Kluyveromyces lactis: one gene and its partners. The protein of the gene in region 2 binds, or shares a complex with, the protein of the main gene of each other region. Links are inferred from orthologs where the notes say so. Each region holds a gene or a part of one and is shown on either strand. Other genes may lie near its edges.

The links. The genes of interacting proteins can lie anywhere in the genome.
Region 1: VPS54 (region 2) and VPS53 share a complex: the UniProt entries of both Saccharomyces cerevisiae proteins name them as parts of the golgi-associated retrograde protein (GARP) complex. The link is inferred for Kluyveromyces lactis from reciprocal best matches to the Saccharomyces cerevisiae genes VPS54 and VPS53.
Region 3: VPS54 (region 2) and VPS52 share a complex: the UniProt entries of both Saccharomyces cerevisiae proteins name them as parts of the golgi-associated retrograde protein (GARP) complex. The link is inferred for Kluyveromyces lactis from reciprocal best matches to the Saccharomyces cerevisiae genes VPS54 and VPS52.

The regions. Positions count from the first base shown.
Region 1 is NC_006040.1:793,351-798,698, reverse strand, and holds VPS53 (Vps53p), read right to left. Parts: upstream 3,675-5,348; coding exon 1,263-3,674; downstream 1-1,262. Other genes in the region: spindle checkpoint protein MAD2, read left to right, coding at 1-245; KLLA0_D09416g (uncharacterized protein), read right to left, coding at 363-956; chaperonin-containing T-complex subunit CCT8, read left to right, coding at 4,603-5,348. UniProt on the Saccharomyces cerevisiae protein: Involved in retrograde transport from early and late endosomes to late Golgi by linking the vesicle through the t-SNARE TGL1 to the Golgi, leading to the membrane fusion between late Golgi and endosomal vesicles.
Region 2 is NC_006042.1:413,835-419,250, reverse strand, and holds VPS54 (Vps54p), read right to left. Parts: upstream 3,138-5,416; coding exon 597-3,137; downstream 1-596. Other genes in the region: RPI1 (protein phosphatase regulator REG1), read right to left, coding at 3,533-5,416. UniProt on the Saccharomyces cerevisiae protein: Involved in retrograde transport from early and late endosomes to late Golgi by linking the vesicle through the t-SNARE TGL1 to the Golgi, leading to the membrane fusion between late Golgi and endosomal vesicles.
Region 3 is NC_006039.1:336,177-341,189, forward strand, and holds VPS52 (Vps52p), read right to left. Parts: upstream 3,160-5,013; coding exon 1,375-3,159; downstream 1-1,374. Other genes in the region: HMI1 (ATP-dependent 3'-5' DNA helicase), read right to left, coding at 1-1,113; RFC4 (replication factor C subunit 4), read right to left, coding at 3,469-4,431; TRM10 (tRNA (guanine(9)-N(1))-methyltransferase), read left to right, coding at 4,928-5,013. UniProt on the Saccharomyces cerevisiae protein: Involved in retrograde transport from early and late endosomes to late Golgi by linking the vesicle through the t-SNARE TGL1 to the Golgi, leading to the membrane fusion between late Golgi and endosomal vesicles.

The DNA of each region.
Region 1 (5,348 bases), on a different chromosome or scaffold from region 2:
AAACCCAAAAGGAGATTCGGGCAGTACTTAGACAGATAACAGCCAGTGTCACTTTCTTGCCCGAATTGAAAAATGAAGGTAACTATACTTTCAATGTTTTGGCCTATACTGATAGTAATGCGAATGTTCCACTAGAATGGACAGATTCTGATTCAAAAGAAATAGCGAAGGGGGAATCTGTGCAATTCAAGTCTTTCGGTACATCGGCCTATTCAGTGGGAGCTGAAGTCACTTATAAGTTCTAACAAAATTAATGGCTGAACTTATTGCATTTCCTTTTAATACTTATGCTACAAATAGGAACAAGATATAGTAGAAAAGGCACATAATACTTAATTCAACTCGAGAAAGCTCATACTAATTCAATCATCTTGGTGTCTTTTCCAAACTTCTATCCAAATCTTGAGATGTTCAATTAGCTTTTGTCTTAAGAGTCCTTCGCATTCTTCCTGCATAAATGGGAAAAGGTTGGACAATAAGCACGTTTTGAACAACTTTAATTTTGACACGGCTGCCATATCAACCCTCAACTCTTCTTTAACTCTAAGAAGAGCAGTAAAATCGAGTTTAATGTTGTCTGACTCTGCTGCTATTTGGATTATATCCTGAATTATTGCTATTTCATTTGCTAGATTTACGGTGTATCCATTATCCAATTTGACTGAGAGATATGTCAGCCTATCATAAAGCGGTTCGGCCACAAACTCAGGTATATCAAGTTCTTTTACTATTTGAAACTCTTTGCGCTCTTCAGCTAATTCATCAAAAATATCGTAAACTTGTTTTGGGTCAAACGTATCATTCAAATCGGTTCTGATCAATTCCACAGGAAACATCAGAGCAAAATGTGATTCACCAACAACATCTATAAACATATCAATTTCCTTAAACTCAGCATCTGTAAGCGTGCTTTCAGCTATAGTGAAAAAAATCATTATGTAGAAGAATGGAATCATTGCATGAGGATACCAGGTCTGATTTCAAAATAAAGTCGATAGCCGAACCAACTTGTGCGGCACATTTTGTCATATAATCAGATATATTGTAAGTGCTCAGGTTAACTGATATATCTTAATATTCATAAGTAAATAATATCTTCGAGTTTTCTGTGTCATTTTGACTTGACGCATTGACATGCCTCGAAAATGTTAAAAAAAGCCTATTTAAACTGATAAATCTGCTACAGAGGTAAAGGTAGTATTACAAGTAGTGTTGCTGTTTCGTTGGTCAAACTGCGTGTGGAAGCTTCTCTACAGAAGCAGTTAGCCCTTCTTGAAAAAAAAACTGGAGTTTGACATAAGGTTTTTTATCTCATTCAATTTATGTCCAGGAATCTTAGGGGATGGAGACCCAGTGGGTGGACTAGGGGAGGACTGTATAGCTACGGATAAATCAGGACGTGGAACAGGTTTAATCTTGAGGTCTTCCTCCAAAAATGTTTTCCATGATGGATCTGATACCCTCGATAGATTGTAAATAAAGTTTTGTAGTTCTCTAGGGTTGAAAATAAGGTCATCTGGTTTCATCGGTTGAGTATCATCATCTGATTGTTGAAATTCTGACCATACTCTTTTCCAAAGTGCCAAATCCCAAGGTACACCTTTTAGCGCTAGTATAAATGCCCAGAAATTTGAGTTTGTATTCTGACTTGCGGTTATTGCATAATAGGTTTCCAAGTATGTTGTATCAGGGTCAATAGGAGAGACAAGTAACTTTAAAAGATGCATTAGTTTTTCCACATTACTATCTATGTGTTTCGTGACTCTTTTAGCTGATGTGTCATGTTGCGGTAAACTTTCCGGAAGTGAATGCAACGTTGTCTTCAATAGTTGAACGTCTAACAATAATTGTTCTGCGATATTTATCACTTGCTTCACATCGAACTGTCTTTTCGAATTAAGAGTGCCATATGGTAAAGCTGGTTTCAAGAGCTTTATAATTTGAGATTCAAAAGAGATAGCTATTAAATCAATAGTTTTATCAATAAAATTCCAACCATAAAGATCTCTATTGAATTGAGAAACAGTGGAGTAAAATGTTGAATTTTCCGATCTTGTTGGTAGGAGGATACTCTGTAAGGTAGTCACATATCTGCTGTAATCTTCCACCATTGTATTAGCCCAATTTGTGTTTGTGAACTCCCTCCATACAAATTCCAAATCTTTCTTCAGGATGCGATTTAGTAGTAAATTGATACCACCCGATACGAGATCCATGTATTTTTGCCTTGTAGGTTCAAAAATGGCTGCAACTTTGTTGATATTTGGCTCATCATTCTCAAGATATTCACAGAGTTTATCTTGCAATTGATCAATTGTATTTGCGCAATAGTCTGCTGTATTGACAAGAAGAACGGTATATTTCACTACTTCATTCTTATCATCGATTTGTGTATCCTCAGGTAACAACAATGGTTTCAAAATCTTTTCATAATATTCATTCAACCATTTGACGAAGAAAACCGCCAATTCCACCATTATGGTCGATTTATTACCGCCTTCTATCAAGCTGAAAGTTTGAGAAAGAATGTGTCTATAAGTTCTAAACAAGTCTGCACTGGATGGAACGACAAGCGATTCATTTTTAGCTGGGAGCTTGGTCTCATTAAGATATGTCAACATCTTGGCGTTCAAAGATGAATCTTGGTGTCTAACCCATAATTTCAAATATGGCTCAAAGCAAGTGGATATTTTACCCTCGTATATATGGGAAAACTTCACTGATATGTATTTTTCAAACTCTAAGGTAGTTTGTAACGATTGCATGAATAGGTCAATGGAGGTGGTACCGGACAAATCTCTCTTCAATAATGTTTTCAAATCGTTAGACGTCATTGTGAAGAAAGAATCCGTTAGTTTCAAAGGTATCTCCCATTCTGATGGGAAATATTCGCTGAAAGTAGACTGGAAATTATTTAATACTTTTTTGAAGAAGATGTAACGTCTAGACAAATTCTCCAAAGAACCAGCTTCATCATCAATTTGGAAGATTTCTTTAATTTCATACAATAGAGAATCCAAACACAATTGCACAATCCTTTCTTTATAATGCTTATTAGTGTCCGCAAGGCAACATATACCGTCTTTCATCGTTTTGCTGTCATATTTACTGTTAGACCCATCCCTAAGCACTTCTTTCGTTACTCTCTCACACACCAATAGTGTATCACTCTCTAAACGATGAATTTGATTTAGAAACTTACAAAACTCATCCAAAGATTTATATTCGTGGAAAGATACAGATAAGGAATGCATAACTTTAAAGGGGCCGCACATTTCAATGTATTTTTCAGCTTGCATGTACTTTTTAGAGTTCACGTATGCATCACTCAAGATCTTCAAATTTTCAAAGCACGTCATCGATCTCGTTATATTCCTCTTAGCGTTATCCAAATCTGAAATATCATGTGTCAAGTCGGATATGGTTGCTTCAGTAATCTGTGACAGAGACTTCGTTGAATTTATCTTCTCAAACAACTTGTGGAAATCATAATTGTCTTCTAAACTATTGACTTCTGAACTGGTGTTATTGCTTTCTCGTACCCGCTCCTCTAAATTAAATTTACATTTTTCGGTTAATAGCACTAGGTTATCAATATCTGATAAAGATTCCTGCTTCGAGAATATCTGTTGAAGATCGTGTAAGGGATCGTATTCCAAAGATTCTGAAATCATTACTTGTTAAGTTCTAGTTATTCAATTCAAATTAATGTGCGTGATACTAATACAGGAAACAATAATGGGGAGGAGCTGGATAGAGAAGGGAGAATTATACCTCTGCAACTTACAATTGCTGGCTCTTTTTGTCATTTACTGATGATACAACAAAGGTTCTTGTTATATTTGTTTCTGTATGCAATAATTACTATGAAAGTCTGATATCAGAAATATCGAAAAAAAATACAAAGTCTTTAAAAGGTGAATTGACAGTTCCAAACCCTTTAACTATGAAAAAAATAATGCTCCAGGGGAGGTTCGAACTCTCGACCTTCAGATTATGAGACTGACGCTCTTCCGACTGAGCTACTGAAGCAATTCCTTTGAGTAGCTTCATTGACACTGTACATATACCAGAACGATGTAATCTTCGCACTGCATAATATATTATTGCTCAACGAGTTACAGTGTGTAGCCAACGATGCTGCTCTTACAAACATATGTTTTGCATATGGCAGAACAACAGAGTAAGTGCCTTCCTGAGCTATATATTGAAATGGTTTGATTTGCCAGGATCAGCGAAGTTTTAAGATACATAACTCTATTCTGCTATGATTATTCCTAGGATGTTGACGTGGATGCATCCATCACCCAGCTACATACCTATTCTTTAGAGTAAGATGATAGTACTTTCAGATCTCCAGAAACACACATGTACACATGCCTTATTCAGACACTTTGTCCCTAGTAACTATTGGCTAAAGCATTCCCATATTTTCTGCATATCTCTCAATACTGAAAAAAAAAAATGCTAAAGTATCTTTTAACAACATAGTTGAAATATAGAAAACAGTGCGTGAACAAAGGTGGCGAAGACGAAACTTGTACGTGGAAAAGCTATACCTTGGAAGGAAAGCAGATAATTCACAAATCCTTGAAAAGCAGCATGTCTTTGAAACTTCCTCAAAATCCTAATGCGGGATTGTTCAAGCAAGGGTACAATTCGTACTCTAATGCTGATGGTCAAATCAATAAATCGATCGCTGCCATTAGAGAGATTCACCAGATGTGTTTAACTTCTATGGGGCCATGCGGCAGAAACAAGATCATCATTAATCATTTGGGAAAGCACATTGTGACCAACGATGCTGCTACCATGCTAAGGGAATTAGAGATTGTCCATCCTGCTGTTAAAGTGTTGGTGATGGCATCTGAACAACAAAAAATTGATATGGGTGATGGTACTAACCTTGTTATGGTGTTGGCTGGTGAGCTTTTGAATGTTAGTGAAAAGCTTATTGCGCTAGGTCTTTCACCTGTAGAAATTATTCAAGGTTACACAATGGCAAAGAATTTTACTTTGGCAGAACTTGACAAGATGTCTGTGTTGGATATCAAGAACAAACATGAAAAAAGTGAGTTAATCAAGGTCATCAAGCCAGTCATTGCATCCAAGCAATATGGTTCTGAAGATATTTTAAGTTCCTTAGTATCAGACGCTGTGGCACATGTCTTGCTACCAAATTCCAACTATTTCAATGTCGACTCAATTAGAGTGGTAAAGATTATGGGTGGTTCCCTTACCAACTCATCTGTTATCAAGGGTTTAGTCTTCAACCGCGAACCAGAAGGACATTTGAAGTCCTTGCCTCAAGGTGAAAAGCATAAGGTTGCTGTGTTTACATGTCCAAT
Region 2 (5,416 bases):
ATTAAGCTTTAACAAGACCCGGTTACCTCGATTGAATCACAATGGAATATGGACACGAGCTGGATATAAATGCTCTGCTTAACCTAAAACAATGTGTTTAAGATGGGAATACCCAGACAATAAGACTGATTGATACCTTAGAAAAAAAGTGGCAATTACTAATAATACAGGTCAATAAAACTCTTCCGTAGTTTACTTGCCTCTCGCTCAACAGACCAGAAATGCCGCGCGTACTTGAACAGTGATTAATACTCTCACACGCCTTAAGGTACCAGTGTAAAACTATCACTTTGGTGTTTTGTCAGGGTAAACAAAACAAAACATTCTAATTCAAAAGTATCAGAATCTCTAACTTTTCAAAGCTTCGTTGGGTCAATGTTTTCATGATGTTCATTGGAAAACGTTGACCCTCGTTAGAAATTGCGATCATATTATACGGAAAGCAGGGTAACGATACATACACAGACGCATATAGTGAGTCCACACTATCACGTGATTCATATTGCTAATATATATGCATAAATATTCAGTACAACTGAGATATCACCTATTCTATCATGCGCAGTGAACTGTTTACCCGATGGGTAGTACTTGTCTTAAACAGGAGGCGGGATATTGTTTGTTTGGAACAATTTCTCACTGGACTGTTGTAATTGTTTCCAGATGTTTTCGTACTTATCTGTCTTAGATCCCAGCGTACGTTGGAAATACCCTTGTAGTAGTAGCGTTATTTCCGCTAGACAATCAAGTGATTCGGCCATGATATTCAAGTTTTTATCTGTCTTTGTAGATAGTCTGTCTGTCAGTGATGATGATATAGATTCTATTGCCTTTGTATTGAAGAATTTCAAGACATCGGACAATTGACGTTCGCAATGTCTTGCATACTGTGATGGGAAGTTTGAGGCGAGTACCAATAAAGTTTTGATCATTTTGATGGCAAGGATTAGAGCCTCGCTTGCCACGAATGTCTTATCACCTAAGACAACGGATTTTTTGTGACCGGTAGAGGATTGCTTCTCATCCTTTGTTTCGTCTAATGGAGAAGGTTTGTTCAACTCGATGAATCGTGTCCAATTTGACGGATCAATGTCAATACACGATACAATATCATTGACATCCTTTTGCAATTCGGGCTCGACGATGAATGGTGTCCATCTCTCTACATCGATCTTTTGTTTCAAAACCCTTATGTTCAAATTTTGTAAAGATTTCAAATATGTATCGATTTGGAGGTTCAATACGTCAGAAAGATACTTCGTTAGAAATTCACCGCTTATAGATTCACACTCTCTCATGAAAAGCATGCATATCTCGTAGAACTGAAGGAAATGATCGAAACGTAATGTACATGTGATATCCCGTCTCACTGAGATTATTTTCCCCATTCGAAGCTGTACTATCCTTATACCCTCGTTAACGCTTTTCCGAATATCAAGATCAATAATCATCTTATCAGATTGCTCTGCCGTTGTCGGTAATTCACTTAGCGAAATGTCTAATAGCATTTTCTGATGCCGCGTTAACCTCTTCAATAGTTCGATTTCAGAAGTGAATATATTTACAAGCATTGATTGGAACTCTTGAGATGATTGTTCTTGAATCAACTTTGATAGCCTTGACCCATTGGCGGCAGTTGGTTTAGAGCCATCTTTCGACTCTTCAGGTGTTTGTCTCTCATGCGGTAGATTAACCTTAATAACAGATTTCAACTCTGCTATAAATTTATCCTCGTATAGCTTCACTGCCGGAACCAACTGATCACAATCGATTAATTGTATTAGATTTTCTTTGATTTGCTTTCGGAAGGTCTCATCGATCTTTAAATGAGGTTTGTTCTTATCCTTCCTAGATTGCAATTTGATGATCGTGTCATTTTTCGATTGAGACTTCGAATACGTCCTCAAATCTTCCAATAGTACGGTAACCAGACTCAATGAGTAAGATCCCCCGATGTCAACCTTCAGATTATTTAGCATGTCTATTATGCCCTGTAAACTAGAAAAACTTGAGATGTTTGTGAGTTTGTACGGCCACTGAGAGGTCCAATCATTGACAGTGGGATCATCATTGTCACCATTTATTAAGTTCTCAACTGCTTTAACCAATTTCAAACACTCTTGTAGTTTTTCTTCTTGATATATTTCTTTACATTCTTCACATTTTTCTTTCGCTAGTTTTACTTGTAGGATCCCCTGTTGTAACTTTTCCACATTTTTCCTTCTTATGAGATCTTTAATCATCTCAATTCTTTTTGAGATTTTATCCCCATTTATCCTCTCAAGGGCCTCAGCAGCAGAATCCAACTCGTTGATTGTCTCTGTCGCATTTTCTCTAATCTTATCGACGTCTTCCAAAGCGTCAAAAAAGCTTTGTATAGACTTGGAGATTTCAGAAACAAGGAGTCCCTCAACAGTATCTAAGTAGAATGCCAATCTTCCTTGAAGCTCTTCATAGCTGTCATTTCTAACTTTATCATCATCATTTAGTAGTTGATTGGCATCAAACTCAAAATCTCGTAGAAGCATTCGAAAGAAATTGGGGTGATCTAATTTGAACTCCTTATCAAAATAGAATTCAGGTATTTCTTCAAATGCCTTGGCTTTCGTATTTTGCAATCCAAGGGCAGTTTTATCATGATCAATAGATCTCATTTGCTCCATTCGGTTCAACTTTGATATATTATTTGTCGATTGATACACCCTATATTCGTCTTTAATGTCATCTCTGTATTGATTAATATCCTTGTCCCATTTATCCTTAATATCGTTCTTGCTTAGAACTACAGGGGGAATATCCTCGGTGGTTGGGTGCCGCAACCATCTTTTAAATCTGGTGTTCATCACAATTTCATATATTGAATTATCAACCAACGGTGAATAATCAAGACCGTGTTTTTGGGTATGCATCGTTGTAGAAAAAGAATTGAATGTGGAATCAAAACTACTACGCCTCATAGACATACTGTCCCTTATTTGATCCCTGTTTCTAGATAATACAGATAGATCATCGTTCAACGAGCTAGCATCATCTGAGGCATGACTGGGCACCAATAGTGGAGATCGACTTAATTGCGTCCTACTATCAGGAGTTAGAGATAGAGCTGGTGTCTCACTTCCCAGTAACCTATCCGGCATAGTTAACTCGCTGGTTTATAGTCTGTTGGAACAGCTTTTTCTTTGCTATGCATCTTAAAGGTGTATGTATCTGTTTACAATATGAACTTTAATCGATTTTCAGTTTTTACATATTCAATGATACTTCTAAAAGAAAGTGAACATGGTAGTTTGAGTATATAATTAAGCGCACTCTCTCAACATAAATAAAACACCGTAGCAAGTTAATCAATAGAAGCATTAAGCGCTGAGCGAGAGATCTACGCAGATGGATAAAACCAAGAAAAATTGTTGTTCTTCTAATTAATACTATTTACGTAGTGAAAAAAAAATATATATGCTGGTAGAGTGGTATTTTTAAGTTTAACCTCAATAAAAAAAATGAACTCCGAATATACCTAAGAGCACTTGAGCGATCACTCAGAATCAGAATCAGATCCAAATAAAAAGCTACCCGATGAAGGAGATTTTAATGGTGGTCTTCTTACCGTCGAATTGTGTTGAGATAAAGGTTCTCCAGTGATGAAGCTATGTGTCTGTTTTAAAACAGGAGATGCAGAATTGGAAGGTGTGATAAAATCATGAATGGAATTTGCTCTAGACTTCCCTATAGATGAGGTTCGCCTTAATGATAGTGGGTCTTTTGCAGTAAGCTCTAGTTCTTCACCGTTATCGTCATGCTCTTCGTCATCATGACTGAAACCAGGTTGGGAAGAATCTGCGATGAATTCGTTGTCCGGATGTTCATCGTTATCATCTTGTACCGGAAGGCTTTGATGGTATGTATATATTTTCCCTCTTGAGTCATCATCCATATATCCGTCATTCGCGTCCTGTATTGGAGTATCTAATCCAATGCCATCCGGTACATCGAGGATATCACACGAATTGTCCACAGTTACAAAGTTGGATGTATCCCCCGTGTAAACGGAATTATAATCATACATGTAGTCAAATCCTCTGCTAGTATTCACATTGTGTGATACTGCGTTACCATAATACCATTCATTTTCGTCTTCATCATAATATTCATCGTCAGATCCGTAGTTTAGAGTAGTGGCTGGAAGTGGTTTAATAGTTGCGTTTGGAAATTTGGATAGTGAGAGTGATCTTAAAGAATTTGCAACATCTGTGCCATCACTAGCCCCCGAATTGGTTCGATTTTTTCTAGTATGTGCACTGATAAATAACCCATCATCTTCGTCATCTTCGTCGTCATCTTCATCATAATCGTAGCTGTCAGCGTCTTCATCATCTTCGTCATCGGCGTAATCTTCGACGCTGTTGGCCCCTGAATTTCTATATCCATCGTCAAAGTCAGAATACTGATGCGAAGATCTGGCACCGTCCGACATATCGTCAGAGTGGTAATCGGTATTTGTCATTGGGACTTCGTCATCATTAGGATTAGCGTCTATGGGGTTATGATTAACCGCAATACATTGTTCGACACGGTCATTGAAATGAATATGTCTTTCCCTTTTTTGCTTTTGCTTCATCGATGATGTAAGAATCGATGATAATATGGGAGGATCAGATCTTGCGGATGGGGTTTCTATCACAGAGCCAGAGATTGGACCTGGAGTGGTATTTACTATCGACGAGTTTGTTTCGGTCACAACGGGCGAAATAGATTCCACCGATTCATCAGGCGGTGTATGGATATTTTTGTAATATTGTGCATTCACCTTCGCGGCAATAGCATCATAATCGTCATGCGTTGTCTGACTTGACTGCGGATCCAAAATAGCATGCAAGTCACTAGTTTGCTTTCTGTGCTGCCTTGCTATATCTAATCTCCATTTGGAGTTTTCCTCGATAATTTCACTAACAGTTCTCTTCTTTAGAATAGGTTTAGGACCGGGACTCTGAGACTTTTGGATCAACCTTTTTGAATTTTCATCATCGGAACCATACCCCATGGTGGCCGCATGATTGTTTCCTATTTCAACGTTGGAAGTGGGCTTTGATGACGACGTCGAGTTATTTTGATCGCCCACTACAATCGGACCGTATAACCAAGTTACATCAGAATCCTTTGACCAGTTCAAAGATTCTGGATTCACAGTTTTCAGATTATTTCTAGCCTTTGACCAAGTTCTCCAGGAAGCATTTTCCAACCTTGCAGCATTGATTAAATCTGTGTCCTTCCGTTTCTTTTTCAAAATGATATAACGCCATGACTGAGATATTTCGTTTTCGTTCCATTTATGAGATAAGTAATCCACATGTCTATTGGGTTCATACATCAAGTCGTTGTCATCATGATGAATTAGGAAATCGTCAGTACCCGGGTCTGG
Region 3 (5,013 bases), on a different chromosome or scaffold from region 2:
GTGGTCAGCAATCGCCTTTGAATGAGAATTGGTCCTTGCTAAAATGCCAATGTCAGATAGTTTTGCAGAAGAACAAACTAGCTGACATATTTCACTCACAATGAAGTCCAATTCATCTATTAATTCTTCGCAATTGTATTTGATGGGGTAAACTCCGGAAGGATGTTTTTCTACTATATTTTCTCTTTTAATCTGAACAGGAACGGTTTGGTTTATAACAGCATTGGCTGCAGCAGTTATTTCTGGTGTACTACGGAAATTGTCATGGATGTACTTAGTGAATTTTTTATCATCAGGTCTTAACCTGTCCAATTCAGACATGACTTCTTTGTTACTTCCCAAAAACTCATAAATGCTTTGATTGATATCTCCAAATATTAAAAAGTGTTTTTGACCAAGTAATGTCTTTAATAGTTTAAATATACCTGGATATAAGTCTTGGAATTCGTCAATAATTAAAACTTTGGCTTCATTTAGTACAAATTTGGTGAATGCAGTATCCTCTTCTGAATTCGGCTCTTTTAAGAATTCCACAGCCATTTTGATTAAATCATCGTTAGTCAAAACATTTGAATGCTTCATTAACTTTGTTACTTTTTCAATGGTCTCATCAATATTATCTGTGTCAATTTGGTATTCATTTATAAGTTTCTGAAGCTTCTTCGTAATGATCCGGTCATTAGCAGTATTAACATTTCTCTTATTCCAAAAATCTTTTGGAATGAGCTTGACTAGACCTCTCCAACCGTTTTCCTCGATTATGTTCACAATACCCATATTTTCAGTAACTATCCTGTTCGAGAGGCCATGGATCGTGTAAATACCAATTTGGGAAACAATGTCATCAACTTCATGGTCAGTGTACGGTTTATCGCTTAATTCCTGAAAGACGCCTAGAAGATTATCTGTAATATTATCAACTGCTTTATTAGTCAAAGATAGAATAATAATTTCACGGGGTTTCACCTGCCCCGTTTGGATCAACTCTCGAACTTTGCATAGCAATGTATATGTCTTACCTGAACCGGGTCCTGCAATAACTTTCAGAGTGCTAGCAGGTATATAAGGGAATTGGATAATTTCATTCTGCGAATCAGTTGGCCTTTTCATCATACGATTGACCACAGACTACACTCTATGTTGAGTGGATCAGCCCAATGGATTTCCTCGTCACTCGACGTTCATATAGCTATTCTGTTTCGGTCATCTCAAATTAGCATATATATGGAACCGAAAATAAAGTAGAAACTGTTTATGTTTATTGACGTTTTTAAAATAAACGAGAAACGGCACAACTAAATAAATCGAAGATTGAATGTGTTATTCGTAACGAGATACTGTAATGGTTGTTCGTATACATATATATATATATATTTACTTACTATATGCTTCTAGTAGCTGTGAAAGATGAGTTTTCGTTTGTGAGAGGATGAGTGGTTCCTTTTCAGAATCTGTTCTGAGGAACGATTGTTGAAGGGCGTTGTAGATATACATATAATTTGTGGTTAGGAAATTATCAGCGTTTTTAGTCTTTTTGCTGCATTTTGTCATTATTGTTTCGAAATCATCACGAATTCTATTTATCGAGTGGAACAACGGTTCTGCCCTTTCATCTAAAAGTTCCTTGTGGGTTAACGATAGTTTCAATAAACTGAGAAGAAATTTGGAAAACTGTACCGTGAGTTCGTGAGGCGTTACTAACGGGTCTGAAGCGGTTCCAGCACCTCTAACACGGGCAACGTTGGTTGTTATTGAAACAGATCTTAATTGTTCACACTGGAAATCCACAAGTTTCTGAAATTTTGGCCATAGAAGAATCAACTGACCATCAAGATAATCATCAATGCACGGGATTTGACGATGTTGCGCTTCGAATTGTAGTCTATGTGCAACTCTAATGCTGATTAAGACACCAAATATATCGAATGATGTATCAATTAATTGATGCGTGAAGTCCATAGCATTATCAAAAGTTGGCTGGAAGATATCCAGAAGAATGGTTCGTATTAGATCACCTTTATCAGTTGGTAATCTGAAGAATTCATTCAAAAACATAAATTCTGCAGTGCAATTATCTAATAATGCCAAGTTTAAATTTTTAAATCCAACTTCGATGTAATTGGCAATTGGATTATTCTCTGCAATTTGCGATACCATAACTGTCCTATCTTCTTGCGTGATAAGATCCAACCGTTTTGATATTTGGAAATAGTCGTTAATGCTGTCATCAGTGACATTAAAGTGGGAAGCAGTTTGTGCGCCAAAGAGCGTTCTTCCACTGGCATAAAGATAATTAGAATAAGATCCTGAAACCGATGTATTTGAAAGACCTTGTCCTAATGCGTATTGAGAATCTATCTGGACGTACTGTAAAATTGTCAAAGATCTAATATATCTTGCAAAATATGTCTTATAATACCATTTCATCGTATTAATATATGCTTCTCGTAATTCTGTAGCTATGTCCGACTTGGTATTGTAGATCATTTGATAGATTTCTCTGACCTGAAGTAGTTCCTCTTGAATTCTTTGCGCTGGCACAGGATGTCCGTCCCTCAGTCTCTTAATTCTTATCACAATATATTTTTTAGCTCTTTCTGCAGAAACTGCCTTTAGTATTTGTAAGATTTCATTCAACTGTTCGAAATCATTTGGTCTCTCTGATTTATTTTCTTCTTGATACTTCAGGAATATCTCTTGTTTATCGTTCAAATAATCAATACAATCAATCCATTTTTGATCAATCTTGCCTCTTAACACTTGATATATTATTTCAGGAGAGATTATCAAATCATTAACGATGGGACTTATGTCTTTCAACTTCGAAGAGTTACTCTTCAGTAACGATGAAAACTCAGAAAATTTACCCTTAACGAAATCGAGATCTTTAGTCAAATCGTTCAACTTGTTGTTAAATTCGGCAAAGTAATTTTTCAAACTCGGTATAAGTGTCTCAGTAGAGGTACGTATTGATTGGTTCTTTTCCATGAGATCATCAAATTCCTTGAGGAATTCAGTATGTAATTGATATTCTTTTTTTAGGGTCGAGTCAACGTAGGCTCGGTAAGTATCAATGTTATCATCTTTACCTGATGGAGAATCCTCTGGCAGTTGAAGTTCAGTTGCATCTAATTCTAACAGATCGCTTAAAACATCCATTATAATTTCAATATATGGTTTTCTGTCACGAACAGAGTGTAATACAATTTGAAGTATCTTTCTTTTCCAACTGTATTCTTTGCGGTGTAGTCGATGTTCTTTTTGATATATTTCAGGCTTTTCGTATTTTTTCTGAAAGTTGTAATACACACACACATCAGGAAAACGAAATGCTGACGGTGAGCGAACGGGGGAGTAGTTTAATTATATGCTTTCTATAGGTCCCCAAGCTTGAAAACTTTGGGTCATTTAAATATTTACAATCATTATGATTACTTTTTGGATGTTAATTATGTGGTAATAGTCTATTTACGATTTAAGCTTTTGAATTTTAGCTAACATACCTGATAGTTGAAGATGAGTCCCGACACCTTCAAGAATTCTCATATGTGTAAAGCCGATTTCCTTGATCATCTCCAATCTAACCGTTTCCTTAACTTCATCGAGATTTTTCATTACTCTGAAACAAGTTATCACTATATCTACCGCAGAGTAGCCTTTAACCCAAAGTTCTTTTAAATATTGCAGCGATTCATCGAGAGATCCAGATAATAGCATTCTCTTGACTATTAGTGGATGCGGGGAATCAACAATTTGGAAAACGTTCTCCCCATTTACTAAACCGAAACCAGCAACTGTACTTTGTAAATTGTTTATTGCCTGTCTCATGTCACCTTCGGCAGTGAAGATAATAGCTTCGAGACCATCATTCGTGTATTGAACATCTTCCAGCTTTATAATTTCCAATAATCTTTTGAGAACCTGTTCATCAGTTAGTTTCGAGTAACGTAGTATTGCACAACGAGATTGTAAAGGTTCAATTATCTTATTAGATTGGTTACATGCAAAAGCAAATCTCGTCGTATTAGAGTATAACTCCATTGTTCTTCTCAAAGCCTGCTGAGCACCACTGGTCATTGAATCTGCCTCATCCAAAATGATAATCTTATGCTTACCTGCTGGTAGCGTGCACTTCTTTTGGGCAAAATGCTTTATCTGATTTCTGACGACTTCGATACCTCTGTCATCAGACGCATTCAACTCCAATACAGCCTGTGAATACGCATCACCTAATAGCTCATGTGCCAAACAGTGTATCGAAGTTGTTTTACCAATACCTGGTAGGCCACTGATAATCATGTGAGGCATATTACCATCAGCAGCGATGGTTTGTAGCCGTTGCACCGTATCCTCATTCCCTACAATATCTTTCAATAAATGCGGTCTGTATTTTTCAACCCATGGTAATTCCAACTTGGTAGCGTAGGACATCTTTCAAAATCAATCTTCTAAGAACTGATCTGAACCCCCTGTTATAGTTATTAATCGGTCAATTGATAGTGACCCAGAGTTATGTATTTTCTTTTCAACCTCGACAGAACCATTATTTTCATTTGGCTCTGTGAATTAAATGCTCTCTACATTTCAAAGTTTCAAAGATTTAGATATAAATACATGTTGATAAACCAAAAAAAAAACAAGAAGAGAAGAAGTACAATCAGGCGCTTGGACATACTTACTAGTATCAATTTTGGCACGTTAATATGGTGTCACGCTCTCGGGATTGATATAATTCGAATCGTTGTGTTAATCGCGAAACAGGAAGCGATTATCCAGTGACATAAAACCCACGTGACTTTCAAACTTTATCAACATGAAAAATGCAGAAGAAGAAACGAATGTTTAGAGAAAGCTTTCAAAGATTCCAACGATATGGAAGCTCATCGCAGATGGTCCTTCGAGAATAAAGAATTGAAGACAAGCTCAAATGTCTGATACCAGTGAAAATTCAAATGCTGAGATTCCAGCTGATACCTCAGATGTCAAAGATAAACCTAAGCCGATAGTTAGGGC